Drosophila melanogaster: one gene and its partner. The protein of the gene in region 1 purifies or fractionates together with the protein of each later gene. This does not show direct contact. Each region holds a gene or a part of one and is shown on either strand. Other genes may lie near its edges.

The links.
Region 2: the proteins of CG11178 (region 1) and Pbp95 purify together in Drosophila melanogaster (affinity purification with mass spectrometry, with the first as the bait; one large-scale study listed by BioGRID). This does not show direct contact.

Annotation. Positions count from the first base shown.
Region 1 is NC_004354.4:13,602,417-13,612,272, reverse strand, and holds CG11178 (uncharacterized protein), read right to left. Parts: upstream 6,593-9,856; 5' UTR 6,502-6,592; intron 6,275-6,501; 5' UTR 5,829-6,274; coding exon 4,799-5,828; intron 4,591-4,798; coding exon 4,189-4,590; intron 4,122-4,188; coding exon 3,941-4,121; intron 3,873-3,940; coding exon 3,362-3,872; 3' UTR 2,744-3,361; downstream 1-2,743. Other genes in the region: Ndc80, read left to right, coding at 308-393, 456-515, 578-962, 1,031-2,527.
Region 2 is NT_033777.3:8,010,845-8,019,366, reverse strand, and holds Pbp95 (PSEA-binding protein 95kD), read right to left. Parts: upstream 5,577-8,522; 5' UTR 5,530-5,576; coding exon 5,068-5,529; intron 4,957-5,067; coding exon 4,401-4,956; intron 4,341-4,400; coding exon 3,193-4,340; 3' UTR 2,757-3,192; downstream 1-2,756. Other genes in the region: CG2747 (uncharacterized protein), read left to right, coding at 1-1,159, 1,907-1,927, 2,362-2,687; CG10435 (uncharacterized protein), read left to right, coding at 6,298-7,236, 7,650-8,072, 8,133-8,258; CG3223 (uncharacterized protein), read right to left, coding at 8,501-8,522.

The DNA of each region.
Region 1 (9,856 bases):
AGCGATTGGCGCCTGTAGAATCGTTTGGAAATGCATTTAGCTATTGAAATAATGTAGTATTTCAATCGTACCTCTGCTTTTTTGTTCCGTTTTGGTGGCATGATCCTAAAGTAATCAGAATTTTTAAGTAAATGGCGCACTTTTTATTTGGCAGTGCTGCCAGATGGTTTAGTAACACTAGGGTGTCAATCGCGACTGCATCCCTGGAAACTATCGATTTGCCGATAACAGGCGTTAAACGACGCGCGATTCCCAATCAAACTGAGTAAACATTTAATTTAATCAACGTAGTTTCAATAACGCCAAGATGTCGCACCTGATGCCCCGGCGGACCAGCGAGTTCCGTGGCGATGTACTGGAGGAGCGAGGCACTGCCGATAAGCGGCAAACCAGGTGAGCATCGAAATCCAACTGATCAAATCTTGTCAACGATGCAAATGCGTATCCTTTTCCAGGGCAACAAAGCGGAGCGCAGCCACGCACACTCCGTCCTCCAGCCAGGCGGCACCCAGAAGGTATGCACAACCATTTGATTATCGAAGGCACAACCAGTAATGTTTGAATCCAATCCGCATAGGCCGTCCGCATCGCGTCTGCCGCAGCCGCTGAACTTGGAGCGCGATCGGGCCAGTCAAATGGGCGTGACGCCCAAGCGAGGCCACCGGTTTGTGCCCTCCACTGCGGAGCGCGCCATTGCGCCACACTCCGACAAGAAATGGGTGGCGGAGAGGGCACAGCAGATCCTGGAATACCTACATGGCATTCAGAACAGCGAGGCGCCCACTGGACTTATTGCGGATCTATTCAGTCGGCCCGGGGGTTTGCGACACATGACCATCAAGCAATTTGTTTCCATTCTCAACTTTATGTTCCACCACATCTGGCGAAATCGCGTGACAGTGGGCCAGAACCATGTCGAGGATATTACCAGCGCAATGCAAAAGCTACAGTATCCTTATCAGGTAAGCAACTCGGATGCTCTTAGGTTTCCAGTGTTCGTTTAATTCTTAAATCCACTTGTGACTTGCAGGTGAACAAATCATGGCTTGTATCGCCAACAACACAGCATTCATTCGGCCATGTGATCGTTCTGCTGGACTTTCTCATGGACTTTTTACCGCCTCTGCCCTCGTCGGATGTGGTGGAGGAGGAGTTTCCGTTTATGGAAACCATGGAGCAGCCCAGCTCGTATCTGAATAGCATGCACTGCGAGTCGACGACCATCATGTCCACCACACAGGCGCACGCCATTCAGCTAGATGAAGACGTCAATGGTCTGCTCTTCGAAGAGGCTAGCAAATGCATTGCCTTGTGGGATCAGGAGCTTACCAATGAGGAGGCCAAGCTGCAGGCGGAGACCAGGGATCAGGTGATCAGCAAGAAGTGTGATTTGCCCGATCGCAAAGCCTTAGACCAGCTAATCGGCGATCTGAAGACGAAACTACAGCAACTGGAGAATAAGTTGCATGATCCCAGTGAAGACAATAAACTGAACAAACTGGAACGTCTTACCAAAGAGCACGATCAGCTTGCCCAACAGCTAGCTGCCAGTGAAGAGGAGCTGATCAAGAAACTGAAGTTATACGAACAGCTGTCTGCCCAGGTAGAAGAAAAACAGTCTAATCTCCGCCAGCAAATGAAGTATGAAAAGCGTCTGGAGCAGGCGGTTAACAGGCAGAAGTTCTCCGCCCAGCAGCTAAAGGAGCTTCAAATGAAGTGCGACGATATGGAAAACTACTCCAAGGCTTATGAGCGCCAGGTGAAGGAGGTGTCCGAGCTGGAGCTGCATCAGCAGGTGATGCTGTCGCGCGCCAAGCAAAAGCAACTGGATTCCGTTGAGGTCTTTAACTCGCACGTGCGCCACCTGAGCATGGACCCGGTGATTTGTGGCCTGATAAAGAGCGGCATTGGCCAGCAATCGGACCTTACTCTGCCACTAAATCCCAATCAAGAGGACATCTCGGAGAGGGTGCAGTGCCTGGAGTTGCTGGGCAAACTTCTGCAACAGCACCGCCAGCAGAATATCGATCGGCGTCAGATGTTGGACAAGCAGGTGGCCAAGGTAAAGTCTGATTCCATCGAGTTAGACACCGAAATCGCCACCATGGACTCTCAGTTGCGGGCGCAGAAACAGCGTCTGACCAAAATGGAGGCCAGTTATCGGACCAAGCGCGACATGCAGGCGCAGCACAGGCAACAGCTGCTCGAGGATCAGTACGACCAGACCGCCCGTCTGGATGAGTTGGAGAAGAGGGAGAAGCAGGCGCTGGAAAAGCTGGAAGCCAGCAAGCAACGGAACGAGGATCTACTCACCGCTGCTGAGCAGTTTCAGGAGCAGGATCTCAAGGCCCGCCAAGATCGCCTGGAAAAATGCGAGCAGAAGCTGGCCAAAGCGGAGGACCAGCTGCTCGCCGTGGAATCAAAGGTCAACGCGACTCAGGCCAAGCTGAACGAGGTGGAGCAAAAGGTGTACTCCGCCAAGCTGCCATCCTTTCAGCCCGTGCTAGATGCCATCAAGAATCATTGATTTGATCCGGATGTTTTGTTGTAGTCCAGTTGATCTGTAAGGAATTTATTAAAGAGTATTCTTTGTTTTCAAATTAAAAAAGACAATGAAGCTGTCTGCAATGTTCAATGTTTTATGTTTTATGAAATGCATTTATTTTTGATTACATTTGAATTAGGTAAATTGAGTTGAACACAGCGGTTCCTGGACAAAGGAGGGGATGATACTCCATAATATCAGATTTCTTAAGTTCTTTATTGCCACACGTATTACGGATTTCATTACGGATCTCCGCTGCCTTTTTTGGGATTACAAATTGCACTTGGAACGGTTTAGCTTTACATGGTTATACATATGTATACACTGAGTGGTGGGTAAATACGGCAAGGGTAACTTAAGCGTAGGTATCTATAAATATTAAATAATATTATCATTTGGCCAATTTTGTGTAGTTTAGCGTGCGATTGACTTGTGCCACAAAAAAGTTGCAGGGAAACGTTTGCATTTATTGCTATTAAATTAATTAATTTGGATATTTCATTTGTGTGCGCTTTTTTCGTATTCGTAGATATATATTTTGTCATTTTTGGGCTTAAAATAAACGAAAATGAGGTATTATTTCAATTAGTAGTGATGTATCTCATAGTATATTGTCGCTCGATCATAAATCCTAGGTTTCTGTGTACCACAAGTCAACCAACTACAGAATATGTATGGGTATACAAAAAAATAGGGGGGAAGTTCGAGTAGTAGTTATAAATTCAACATTGAGACTGAGACAATATGTTGTGTAATAAATAAATATCATTTAGCTTAGTTCAATTCTATACAATGACCCCGATAGTGCTAACGTCCTCAGACAATGAAGACATCGCCACTGCTGCGCTCCACGGCCGAGGTGGCCACATCGCCGCCACATCCTGGCCGACCGGCTTGGCTTGCAGCCGCAATCTTGGGCTCCTCCGATTGCGCAGTTTTGTCCAACAGCTCCGCCTCGCGTCCAATCTCGACGATGCCTTGCGGCTTGTCGCAGCTGACGCTCTGTGACTCGTGCGACTCGTGTGCCTCTTCCTGGCCAGCCAGGTGGATGCTGACTCCCGCCACGTCAAGGTCTTCGACGTCCTTATGATTCTGGAATGTAACTGAGATCTCTTGGGCTGCAGCTCCTTCGCTTACATCCCCTTCCTGCCCATTCGAGCTGCTGGTCGCAGGCCCTGCATTTGTTGCATTGGGCGGGGCCGTCGTGATGGATGACCACCAGCTGGAGAAGGCGCCCTTGGCCTGGGATATGGCACCGCCCACTGCACGACTCGTCGTGTTTACCGCCTGGTTGATTTTTCGCCCACTCTCGCTATTTTGCATGGTTCTGCAAATTTCAAGTGTTTAGAAACTTAGTTCCCCTTCGGTATGGATTTCAGGATTTTAACCGCTTACTGTGCTAGTTTTAGTTTCATGTCCGCCACGGACAAGGTGCCGGCGAAGGGATGACCAGCGGGCAGGGCCTCAAAGAACTCGGGTTCGGGCCTAACGTCGTACCATTCCTGAAAGCATTGGGTGCGCTTGAAGGCGCCCATGAAGTGCGCATTGAAATGATCGTTGTCCTTTGGCGTGGCATCTGTAAACAAACAAATTTACATTTACATTTGATGGTTCAACTAAAAGCTAACAAAGATTGCACACACCTGGAGCCACAGCAGTTCGCAAGAGTGCGAGAATATAGCCCTGAAACTGCTCCCGTATCCAGTACTCGCTGCCCTCGGCATCCTCCTTTGGCGATTGCACATGCTTCATGATGTAGTCCATGTAGCGCAGATCCTCGGTGCTCAGCACCAGCTGACGCCTGAGCTCCGGATCGTGGGCATCCAGATTGGCCGCCTCGATGTCCACCAGGACGTCAGCCAGCTGACGTTTCTGCTGGAAAAGCACGTTGGAGGTGCCGATGACATAGGAGAGCACCATGGGATCGCTGAGCAGGTCCATGTACGGTAGCGACAGATACGGCAGGCAGAGGTTGCCGCTGGCGAAGATGCTGACCGGTGCCCGATACTCATCCGGATTGACAGCGCACAAGGCGGCGAGGTTGGCTATGGACGAAACATTTACACGGATCAGTTAACTGCGTCATACGTAATATTTAATGTCTGCACGCTCCTATCTCCTATCTAGAATGATTCACTTATATGGCATGATATGTATAAGAATAAACGCAATAACAAAGGTTACAATTGACTAAAATGTGCCTAAATCTGCTAGTTACGCCAAACACGGGGATAGACTTCTTGGGCTACTCACACGCTAGTGTGTCCACGCTGGCCTCTCTGGTCAGCGAGCTGTTCCTGCCGTTCGATGAGTCCTGCGACTGTGAGTTGGGCGTGGAACGCGTCGACGTGTCATCGCCACTGACCTGCTCCTCGCCCGCCGACGCTGCGGATGAGACGAGGGCCAGCTCTTCGGCCTCGCCCTCCACCGCTGTGGCGCTCTCGGGCGTCAGTTTCTGCTCATCGGTGGCAGCTGCTACGGAAGCCACTGCCTCCAGTTCCGCTTCGGCTTCGGCCTGCGCCTCCCGCTGCAGGGAGTCAGTGAAATCCGGCATGGGCGACAGGGGACGCGACGTGCGCACACAGGCCACCTCCTGGAAGCCCTTCTCCAGCAGCCGCGGCACCAGCGATGCCATGCCCAGGATCAGCACACACATTTGGCGTACGGGCGAACCGAAACACACCACTCGTCGCTGCAGCAGCATTAGTTTGAAGAGCATTAGCGTCTTGTGGCGCCAGTGGAGTACGATCTCGCGCAGCGACAGCCCCACGTGAAAGTGGCGCAACGGGCGGCGCGACTCGTCGTCCTGGAGGCAGGCATTTAGCTGCTGATAGGCCTTGGCCAGCAGTTCCGTGCCGGAGAAGTCGCCCTGATCGAAAAAGGCATCGGCAATGAGGGCTAGCTTCACCTCGATGTACCCGTAGATGGGCAGGCGGGCCAATATGCAAACGGACTTCTGAACGGTGCTGCGCGTGAGGTCCGCTGTCCGGATCTTTAGCTTCTCCACGCGTATCTGGCGATAGCAGGACACGCCGTAGATACTCTCAGCCGGCTCATACAAACTGGGCAGGTTGAAGAACACCGTGTCCTCGGCAAAGTTATGCGAGCCGTCGGGCAGAGCCAGAGTGGGCAGGTACTTCCAGCCGGAGGGGCATTCGTTGCGTCCCGTGGAGCCCGAGATTAGCGGCGGATGCGAGAACTCCACCTGGCAGCCCAGCTTGTGGTGGAAGCCCACCACGAGGATGTGCAGGATCGGTGGCTTGTTCTCCGGCTCGCTGGCCATCGTTGGTCGTTATCCTTGTACCAAGGAGCAAGCGGTGTCCACAAAAAATGCGTTTTTTGCCTGCAAAATGAATATCCAATTGGATTGGCCACTACCACATCGGCCCTCTCGCTCGCACTCGTGTAACCACGCCACGCAATTGTTGTTCTATTCGGACCACGGCGCACTTATTTTGTGTTGCAATTATCTATCTGTCGTATTTAACTTTCTTTCTTTACGATTTCCAAGCGATTTTGTTTTTATTCTATTTTCTTGTTTGTGATAGCGTATCGATATCAGGAGGCGTTATTTTGTACTCCAATTAGATGTGCATTTGCCGGTTATCGATATGTTTCGCTTCGACCAACGGCATTATCGACTACACCAGTACGAAAATTGGCGGTTACTTTTGAATTTGAAATAACCATTGAAGAATTAGAATCACGCTAATATGAACGAAAATAAAACTTCACAGTGTAATTTGTTTTTGTATCTCATTAATCTTTATTAAGAAACAATACAAGAAATATATTTACTTTAAATACAAGATAAAATACTATTCAGAAAAAAAGGATAATTAAATTTTTTGATTTTAATGAGTGAAGTTACAAGTTTCACGAGATCAGAATTAATGCATGGTAAAAAAATGTATTTACTTTTATACAAAAATACCCGTAAGCATCATCCAACTTACCAAAATCGAAACTATCATTACGAGTATGTTGAAATAGTTGTAACATTTTGGTTTTAGTCGCGATTTTGTTGGCTTGACTACTGATACACATTTCCAAGTGTCAACAAGCCGAAAATTAAGTCAAAAACAAATTCTGAAAATAAACGTGTAATACTATACATATAGTAGACGGAGCATTAGGTACTATATAGCCAGACTGTGTATGATGGCTCTGTTCTTAAACGTTTTTATATTTTCTGCTGTTTTCATCTTGGGGTTTCTTCTATGTGTCTTTTTTCTTATGGATTTTTCCGTTGTTTCCTTTTCCCCAATTTTTTTTTGCTTTTTTTAATTGGTCTGTTTTCATTTCATTTAATTTAGTTAGAGCGTATTTTTAAATCGAACATCCAACATATAGATTCTAAAATTGGCACACATCGCTTGTTTGTTCTTTACAAAATATGTTTGCTTGACCTGATCTTATTCATTGAAAAGTTTATGAATTATATATTTTAACTTTAAACTGGAAAGTGCATTGATTTAATGTGTTAAATACATTTAAGTTTATAATAGGAAGCTCTTACTATTCTGGTCACTAAAATCTAAAATTGAAAAGAACATATTTCAGAATTTTAACTGTTTTCTTGCATCATACACAGTAGAAAAAAAATGCAAGTGACACAGCCAACAATAGCTTATTATTTAAGATTGCACCGATTGCAATCAATTCAAATTATTCGACACTTTGGATACGCTGTTCATTCATATAATCCCAGGGCCATCGTTCTTGTCTGAAATCAAATATTTTTCCAGATCTTGGATAATGTTTATGTTATTCCTGATCTATGCAGATATTAGCCACAGTTCCCCGTAAACATCGCCCCAGAAAGCTAACCTATAGATAGACATATAGAAGATATTTAAACAAATACATATACATACTTTAATATATATATATATATATATATATTTTTTATATCGGGCATCTTCGTGCATACGATCGGCACTAAAAACCGAAGGCTACAGACGAATAGCGCCCACACAAAACGTCCAAAAATAGAACAACAAAAATTCGAAACTGTGCTATTTGTTATTCCCTGATTTTCGAATATTCTGACTTGCCTTTCTAACATTCTGATATTCGGACATTCAGAAGATGATGCGAATTGAAATTTACTTGAATACGGCATACGGCATACCCGACTTTCCACCCACTTTCACGCCCACATATGTATATATCTGCACATGTCCGTACTTCTGGTCTACGGATCACTGAGCTATTTGGCCCGATGTTTGCAATAGGTTCGTAGTTGTTTATTGAACGGAGGATGTTATGTGAATCCAGCCAGATGGCAGGCAAAAATTGGAAGCAGCTAAAAAAGCGCTTACAGATGTCGTTTATATCTGGACAGAACACGCCCGTACCATTTCATGCACTAAATCCCAGATAACTCGAACTGCCCACCTGTGTCCCATTGCGATTCTGTAGTTTTGTGGTTTTTGGCAAGCCATGCATAATACCTAGACCCATACATATCACATACACATACATATCTAATTATCTATGCATACATATCTATCTATCTGCGTATCTGGTGTGTGCATTTTGCATTTCGCAGAGGTGCAGATACAAAAATGTTCTAAATTTAAGATACTTGGTAACCAAAAACGAAATCAAAACAAATGCCGAAACTTTGCGACTATATAGTAATTTTACTATTGGAGAATATTGTAATATATATAATTTTAAAATAATATTCATCGCATGTTTTTAATTTACACAGAAGTCTATTTATTTGAACAACTTGTTTATGCAAGGAATTAAGAGAAGTCTTAAATTAATTTTTCTATAATCATATATAATGTAATGTAATCATAATATAATGTAATGTAATCATATATAATGTAATCATGTATGTATAAAAATTTTTACCCAGATTTTGAGGAACTTTGAGATAGCCCAAATATTTTTTTTTGCAGTATTAATAATTTAAGAAGATACAAGTGCAAGCGAAAAACTAAAAATTTTTTTTTTTTTTTATATTCTTCTAGAATTTATATCTAATTTTATGAAAAATTTGGCAAAAAAAAAAACAACGGAAATCGATGTTGATGAAAGTACATTTTTAAAATATTGTAAGTTTTTGCTTTATTTTAATTTTATTAATACTAGAATACAGAAACAAAATTAAATACAGAACAAAATATGTTTCACTACCCTTACTTAATACAAATATTTCTTATGTGTTATGATGTTTATTAAACGATATGAAAAAATTAATTTTTTTGGCAAAATTTACATATAGGAAAAAGAGATTTTGTCAAATTCTTCAAATTGATTTTGTATGCTTCGAAAAAATAACCCAATAAAGAATGAATTAAATTCGATAGCTTAAAGTGCTGCAAGGCGCGTAAGTGTATCTGAAACTATTTGCCAAAAGTATCTGTTAGAAAGTAAAATAAAAAAAATAGCATAGAAAAAGGAGAGAAATAAAAAAAGAAAATCGGAACAATGACGAATAGATTCAAGTGTTAGACAAATGGCAATGCGATGGGGCCACCTAAGGCCGTTCGACGTCAGCAGTTCGATCGCGATATAGATATAGGTAAATAAATATATATATATATATATATATATATAGGGGGTGATCGGTGATCGCGGCGGACTGGGTTGGAGATTTTGTAGGGCGTGCACTCTGGGGTTCAAATGCTGCAACGATCCGCTGAGGAATCCAAACTATATGTGCTATATATCGGCACGAACATCTGTACGTATATATTATAGAGCAATATATGCAGGCCGACTTTTTAATGGCTGTGAAATTTATGCTCTACGATATTTGATTCCAAAAACAAATGTGTAAAATGCCGCCAACGCACCGAACGTCCGTATGCGCTATATACTTATTGTATGATCTAGTTATGTGCGTGCGCCATTATGGTCTAATGTATAGTATATACTAATATCGTATGCCTCATCTCGCTCTGGCCAAAATGGAAAATTGGAAAACTCGACGGCGGCTGTGTGCGTGTACAAGTTTATGTTTCAGCTGCAGCCCACCTGAAAAATTCACCCAAAACACATCGAACACAGCCAACACAGGCAGGCGCACCCACCACCACCCACTTGTTGCCACATCGGCCAGCGATATGTGGCATATAGCGCTGGCCTGCTCGCACACATGGCCAGCTATTGGCTATATAGAAAGGCGATCGGTGTGTGCGTGGAAATGGCTTTTCCGCGAACGCGACGAAAAATTCTTTAACATAACGTGTAGCAGCGCTTTTCATCGTCAGTTTGGTTAGTCGAACCGCAGCATTCGCTCCTACGACGTCAGCTGCTCGGACTTCAATTCAATTTGTTTTTCTCCCTAAG
Region 2 (8,522 bases), on another chromosome or scaffold:
TGCAGCATGAGAAGCTCTGAAAGGCCGAGAAACATTGTGAGCTGCCTTCGCTCACTGCACAGCATCTTTGATTCTGATTGGGCTAGGAGGCAGTTGGTCAAGGATCGGGCTTTAACCATTGAACTCTGTCATGTTCTACATCGTCAGATACTGACGAGAGATGAATTACTCGTACAACTTCTGTGCGTAGAAATTTTAAAGCAAACAATCCGCGCTGCTAGGGAAGACTTAGAAAGAAAACGGGACGATAATGCCAATTCTGAGGACGGAAAGGGTGGAGAGCGACATGGAGAAGATGATTCTATGCAGCCAGGAAGCTCGCATGTCTACGCCGTTCTGGAGGTTTGTCTTTGCCTATTTGTTCGCCAAATACCTACGATGAATCCCACGAGGCAGGGAGCTGGTGGCTCCGGCTTACAGCTGGACTTTGCCTATGCCAAAATGGCCACTGGCTCGTCATTCTTCTCGGTGCTCGGCGATGAAAACGGCCTGCTAGTATCCAGCGGACTGCAGTGCGTCGAACAGTTGATGGATTTGTGTACTCCCAAAGGTGCCCTTGCAATCCTGCCCACCGTCCTGTATATGACAACCAGTATCGTTAAAGAAATCGCCAACAAGTCGGCCATAGATAGTACTATCTTGGCAAATACGTGTGCTGTGAAGTCTGCCCTGCAGTGCTTGCGATCCGTTTGTGTCCACAAGTGGGCTAAAGTAGAGGAGACAACCGAGGAATGGCAACAGTTACTGCAAAGTGCACTGGCCACCATTGTGGATCTCACCAAAACGGCTGGCGATAACGAGGAAAGGAAAGTCGACGAGGTCACTATGCTGCTGGCCATCACTGTTTTTATTCTACATACTCCCGCCTCCGTTGTGGCTACACCTTCATTGCAATATCCATGCATTAATCACTTCCGGCAGTGCCTGCAGTCGGAGAACCTCTCGGTGAAGCTGCGCTGCATCGAGACCACGCGATCGATCTTCGCTCGGGCCGAATTGAAGACGGCAACACCCTACATCCACGCACTTGCGCCTAGGATAATCGAATCGTTGTATGCGGAGTCCAGCAAGGTGCCCACAAGCGAACTGGAGCTACAGGTCACCCTGGAGAGCATCGTTACCGTGGAGCAGCTTATAGACTTGTCGGAGCCGCAGAACCGTAAGTAACTGGTTGTATTTGAAAATCATTAAGCTTGGTCCTTCTTTAAATCTCGGGGTACTCCTGTTTGAGAAAGAATACTTAACCTTAAGAACGTGTTTTTGTTTATGTTATATAACTAGATTAAATAATTATACCTTTGGATTTAGGAGGGATATATTTGGAATTATAATTCATGGAAAATAGTGAAAAGTATGAAAGAGGTGGAAGAAAGCGTTTTCGACCCTATAAAGTGTATACATTTTTTTTCAGTATCAGAAGGCAAATCTACTTGGCCGTGTCCATACGTGTCTAACGGATATTAAATAGTCCAGGAACTCGACTATATCATAATTAAATGATTGCTAACTAATAAAAATTGATCATTGATTGATTATAAGGACTTCTTCGAATAATGTTAAATTGTGACTAGAAAGGATAAAATTCGACATAACTTTCATTTGGTGCAGGAGTACCCCATTTTAGAATATAGTTCTAGCAGTTCCCCCTTACCCGCCTTAATAGTTAACACACTCCCCTTTCCAACATAATTAGGCTGTTCTGTCGTATCGATCTGTTTTCTTCAAATATATCTTCGAACGCAGCCAAAGTATTGGTTTAAGTACATTCATTTTAAACTTCACACGATGGGAAGGGAAAACGAAATAAGTTATTATATATTTGCTCTTTTCTCTGTCTTCTCTTTTTATCAAATCACAAATCATTTACAAAACATTAAAAAAAATAATATTTAAAAAAAAACGTTAGGAAACATGAACTTGCTACAAGGTAAATAGAAGAGCTCGATCATAAACTCACACGTTTCATGTCAAAAAAGCGTTTCAGAAATATAAGGCATAACTGTTCACACTTACACACGCGTTGTAAATTTACTCCTTTTTCATCGGTCTGCTAAATGGAAATGAAATTATTTTCCTACCATTAAATATGAACATTCTATTCGTTTTTTTATTTATGTTATCTTAACTGCCTTATAGTCATGAATTGCAACGTTTATTGCACACTCAATGTTTTTCAATGCACCAATCCATAGCATAGTTCCTAGTTCTTGTTGTCAATTAAAATTACGCTTTAAATGTTGCACGTATGAAGTAAAAGTACGGGATGAAGCGACTTGTCCATCTCTGTGAATTGATGTTCCGTTTAGCAAGCCCTTAAACTTAGGATTATAATATTAATTGTTCCTTGTCCACACTTCACAGATATTCAGATGCTGACTCTGTTGGTCCCTGTGCTCATTGGCTTCCTAGCGGAACCCAGTCGACTCCGGACGCTGCCAAAGTATCAACGGCAGCTGCACGACCAGGCGCTGCAGTGGCTACTGAAGATCGGTCCGAAATATCCGCAGGAGTTTAAGGCCCTGATGGGTCAAACACCGGAACTGCGACAAAAACTAGAAGCGGCCATTCGCAGCCAACAGCAGTCGATTAACATTGCCCAAAAAGCAAGCGAGGCGCAGAGGAACCTGCTGGCCAAGCCGCAGAAGCCTACGATCAAGCTGAAGACGGATTTCAGTAACTTCCAATGAGCGCCTCCCCCGGGAATCGAACAAAATAGTTCTCAAGCTGCTAGTGCTATCATAAAAATGCTTTGTAATACATTGTTACCGCATGAACAATAGGATGGATCGGTTCTTTTTATATTGAAAATAAGGTTTAGACAATTTTGCTCTAATAACTAAATATCCGGGATAAAAGTTTTGAAAGGATTGTAAAACGGCAACTAAAATATACATTAGTTTTTTTGACTGCTTGTGTATTAAATTGTTTCGTTTTGCAGGGCGTTTTGCTATAAATATACCTTTTTTCAAACCTAAGCAATATTTTTAAACTACAATCAGAAAAATGAGCCACCCTAATGCACATCGGTCCGGCATTTGATTTTGCTGTATGTGAAATACGTTAAAAGTACCTACAAGTTTATAAATTATTTGTTAGCCATTGTAATGAACTATTATATAACGCGATATGAAGTAAAAAATATAAACTTTTAAAGCTTAAATTAATCAATATTACATATTTACTTATTAGTTCCTATGGAACTGTATATTCCATTTCCAATTCCTGCTTGACTGTATTAATCACTTCATTCTCGCTAAGCGGCTCGGATTTTAGATCATTCTGTGGTGCCGGCTCTGGATCGATTAATTCAACATGTGTACCCATTTTTGCATAATCGTGTTTGGGGCGTGGTAAAGAAACTAATGCTGATGGTAAGTCCGTAAAGAGTTGTGATTCCAAGCGGCTGAGAAGAGTGGTACGATAGAAAAGAGCTTGCAACCGCTTGCGGAAAAGCTGGATGGGTGGTAAAGATTCATTGTATTCGAAGCTACGTGTTTCCGTATCCTTGCGACAATCTCCGGAAAGAATGCATAAGGCTCGAAACCCCATCATAGTTGACCAGTTGGGTGGCAAAAGTGGGCTCTTCATATCACCTTCCTCGTCCGGAAGGTTTCGGATCATGCTGTTGTAGCACTTAAGCACATCATTTGGCATAAATATGTTTTGTAAGAGCGAGGGTCGAATTGGTGGCTTATATGCAAGAGCTCTGATCACGTAGGCAAGGTTATAAACGTCTTTTGGAACTGGAAAAGTTTTTGGAGTGCTCAGCGTCAGATTATAACTAAACTTAAAGAAGTTGCAGAACTCTATATCAACTTTCGAAAGTCTTGAGAAACTCTCTGCCTGTCGCTCGATCCTAGCCTTTTTCGATTTGGGACCGCGCACCCGAGTTCCTTTCGGGGGGTTATCATTAACTAATGACTCTGGGTCCTCTTGCCACTCTTGCAAACGCTGCGCCCAGTTATCAGAGTTAACCAAGGACACCTTCTTCGATCGGCGGCGTGGCAGGTCTTCCACTTTTGCATTGGGATTTTGTTCAAGGAATTTCTTGATGACTAGGAAGCGGGTTCGACAGCTGGTCCGCGTGTGATTGCCCAAGAACGTGGCACAGTTAAGCCACTGGGAAGCCCCGTATTGCGTTACGAAGCTCATCAGCCGTGTGTCGTCCTGAACGGACCAGGAGTCGGTCTTGTTGCGTTGTGCCAGTACATTGTGGTAGCGAGTTCGGAGTTGGGTTAACGACCGGTTTGGGAAAAGAGAACGCGGAAAACAGTGAAACTTTCCATTGTACTCTTCAACGGCGGCGAACAGCATCATGTCCTCCTTGGTAGTGAAGGGTTCTGCAGTTTCAAAGGAGCGAAATAATAAATTAAAAATTATTCAATATATTGGGTACCTACCGTGACTGATGCTAGGATGCAACACGTAGTAGTAACGACCAATCAGCGTTGATTTGGACTTGTCCGGGAAGTATTCCACGACTTTTTTCCAGTTTATTACACTGTTTGCCGTATTCCTATCAACGATCGCCCTTAGTTTATCGTTGTCCTCTTCGCTCCAGCGGTGGCTGTTCTTTGGCTCCAGCAGAAAACGTAGGGCGGTATGAAAGCGTACGAAGCACTGATAGTCGGAACGTCGGTCTAGCGACGCGGCTATCAACTCCCAGTTCTGCATCCTGTTCGCAGTGGCCACCGCCAGTAAAGTTTCGTCCTCCTCGGGTGACCAATCGTCTCGCCTGAGATCTGGTGTTAAGTAGACCCTCCACATTGCCTCACAGCTATATGGTGAGTGCCGATATTCCAAGTCCAGGGTGCTGATCTGGTTCCAGTCGATGCTGAAGCTACTATCCGCAGTTGCCAGCAGACTTACCAGTGTACTTAAGTGTCGCTCGATTGGCTTGCGCTTCAGGCTTCCGCTGGGCAGCGCATTCGTACTGTGGGCCCTATGCTCCAGTAACTGAGAATTGAGTTTTTTATAAAACAGAATATTAGTATTGCTATTTAACTTTTCATTGCTATTAAATGGGTATTTGGCAATCAATCTGAACCACTCGAAGGGTCCACTCACCTGTTGTTTTATACCCATTATCACATTCTTTTTGTCTAGCAATGTCCATACATGTCTGGAGTGCATGTCAAAGTCGGTGGGAAACATCTCCGTGTGGCACCGCGCCTCGTAATCCTCGTTGTTAGGACAGCTTCGACCATCGATGTCTCGGAAAAACAGGTTGCCCTTGAAGCGAAACGTGCCCTTCCGCAGGATCGCCCCGCTAAGATTGAGGGAATTCGGGCCGAAATGGGAACGAGGTCGCAGCCGGCGCACCAGGATGTCCTCGTTCCGAGAGAAGCGGGCCCTTACTACTTGTAACATGGCCAGAATTTTGGTCCGGACTTGCATGAGCCGGCGCTGGAGCTCCTGATTCAGCTGCAGTGCGTTGGCGGCGCTCGGCTTCGCTGTGTTCTGCAAGAGGGCCGAAATCTCGTCCATAAGCTGCTGCTGGTTTATGCGCAGATCATCGGCATCGTCCATTGCTCAGGTTGTTTTGTTTACATTGCCTTTGACTTTAGCGATGAACTATTCCCGGCATCAACTATCGATAAAATGGTTGCAATGGTCGAACTGCATTAAGCAAATTAATACCCTGCAAATAAAGTAACATTGAACATTACATAGGAAATTGCTGTATTATTGGACTAAGACCTATTAAAGAATAGATAGAGATAAAATAGATATCATAACTGCCATTTTTCGTCCTTATTTATTCCCAGAAACTTTGGTTTTATCTAGTGGAAAGAACATGATTTCAATAAACTCAGTTGTAAAAGCGCGGGATTATTTTAAACAAAAGTTTGGTCAAAAATAGTTTTTTAGAATAAAGATCTTAAAACTATCCGCCATGCACTAAATAATGATACCCTTGGTAACAAAAAATATTTAGTATGTCAAAATGTTTTGTAATTTTAATTTTTTTATGTTGTATAACGTGATCTGTAGAAACTATTAATGTATTCCGATTTTTGTTAAGCCTTTCATACGCCCTCAAATTGGCGAAAATTTGGGTAGATTTAATATCAGCTGTTGTCAAACTCGCAACCAAGCCTGAGTACACCTAATTAGGTGAGCATCTCAAGGAAAAACGATATTCAACACTAGTCGAAATTGGCGAATCAGCAGTGACCGATGACAATACCAATCGCCTATCGCTGCTGCTCGAGAAACAACAAAAGAGAACAGAGAAAAAAAAACGCGTAGTAGCAACTTAATTAACAAAATTCGTGGTGAATGCGCTAGCATAACATGGAAGATGTCCCGGTCAAGATAGTCGAGCGCTACAAACCACCGCCTGCCGTGTACCACCTGCCGCAGGCGACCCTCAATCGCCTGTCGCAATTCCGAGAAGGTTTCTACACGGATCATCCGGATTACCAGTATGACTGTCAGCTGGAGAGGGCCGTGCTGAGTCAGGCGCAACGATGGCGCCACCTGCGTCGCCAGCAGCGCGAGGAGCGAGCCAGTCGCCAGGAGCGTCGCAAGGAGGAACGCCAACGGGCGCTGGAGGCGAGACAGAAGGAGATGCTTGGAGCAGTTGATTATCCTAGTGCGGACGACTTGTCATCGGATGAGGACGAGAAGGAGCGAAAGAAGAACGAGCCCGAGCAGAGGGACGAGGAACAGCAACAGCAGCCACCACCTCCAATCACCGCTGAGTCACGCGACTCTTCCCACGAACCAAAGTCAATAAGTGTGTGTAATTTTCACAATATCTTGCAGCCCACCATTCTGAGCACCACTCCAGTGGTCAGTCCGCAGACGCTGCACAAGCGTAACAGCTCCCTAAACTACGCAGACTTTGAGTACAATATGAACTCCACACCTTTCGACAATATCGAGCTGAAGACCATCAACGATCTAGACATACTAGCTCAGGTTCTGCACCAGACACAGCTGGAGAAGCGCATAGATCAACAGCAGCAGGATCAGCAGCAGCAGGAGCCGCCGCATGAGGATCATTCCAAGGAGGAGCAATCTGGCAATGAAGTGCCAGCTCCGGTGGAGCTAGCAATGACTACGCTGGCGGAGACCAAAGCGACGCTCGACAGCGTCAATTTCCATGTTCACTGTGATGATAATGCGGACAGGGGCGAGCCAAGCCACATTCCAACCACGGCTCAATACCTAACGCCCATGTACAGCGCTTCCGCCCAGCAGCCGTTGCATAAACCGGAACACTTTCAGGTGGGACACTTTTAACTAGTTAAAGAGCCTTAATAATATGTTAACTTGATTCTTTTGAATGTCACACTATCCTTGTATTCTCAAAATCCAATCCTCATTACTCATTAAATTGTAATAAAAGAGGAAATTGTTCATTCACTCACAGTATACCATTTAATCGGGATGATTTCTGAGCATTTGCAGGTAGATTACCTAAAAATAAATAACTCATCACAAGTCGAGGGTGGGGCTATTGCTCAAACTAATTAGTACCACAATTGAGGGTGTAATATATTTTGACTGAGCTTGAGTACGATCTTAGCATGGTCTTATAAACCAAGTATTAGTCCGATACCCAATATTTTATTTCAATCGAAAATAAGTTTTTTTCAGACGCTCCGATTTAAAATATGGGCTAATTATTATTTTCGCAGGTGTACCACATGCAGGGCTACAGTCACCAGCCCTTCTACCCTCCGCAGCAGCATTCTTTCCAACAGTTTAGCAACTACCAAGTCAATGGATTCGGGACTCAAAACCTTTTGAAGGCTCCTCCAGCGCCTTCCTCCGTGCATGCGCTCAGCCAGTCGGAGGACGAGGTAGCCACGAAGTCAAGGAGTGTGCCTGACATCCTGCGGGAGCTGAAGACGGAGCTGCAGCAGGCGGAGAAGCGTCGTACCCGCCTGCACAGTCACAACGCGGAGCAGCAGCCAACGGTGGAGTTGGCAGTGGACAGAAACTCCTTTAGGGAGCTGGCTGGTCCGGCACAGAAGTTGGCCCAACGTATCAGTACTATGGGTTTCCCTCTGGAACGGGTGGCAAAGGTGGTTAGTCTATGCGGTATCGACGATAAGAAGGTAAGTCAGTTTCGAAAACTTTTGCAAAATGCATTATTCCGATCTGGGACGTCTTTTCAGATTATCGAACACCTTATTCCACTGGGAGAACTTCTGGACCTCGGTTTTGACGAATCGAAAATCTCGGCGGCGCTACTCAAGTTCAACAATAATAAGGACAAGGCGCTGGACTATCTAATCAACTAGTATAATTTAGTGGAAACCTTTTGTACGGCCGGCTTTTACCCCCATGCCCAAACTCCGCAATCCCACCCCAATTAGCTTACAAAGATGACTCCTCTAAACGTATATTTAATTATTAAAAGTTATTAAGAGATATTCCTTGCTTAAGTTGGGAGTTTAATGCTTCAGAATCCTCAGCAGCAGAATAAATATAAGTCCGTAAAGTAAGCACATTATGTTGGCTTTTTAGTCAATTCCGATCCTTATTAATTCATGCTCAGCATAAGC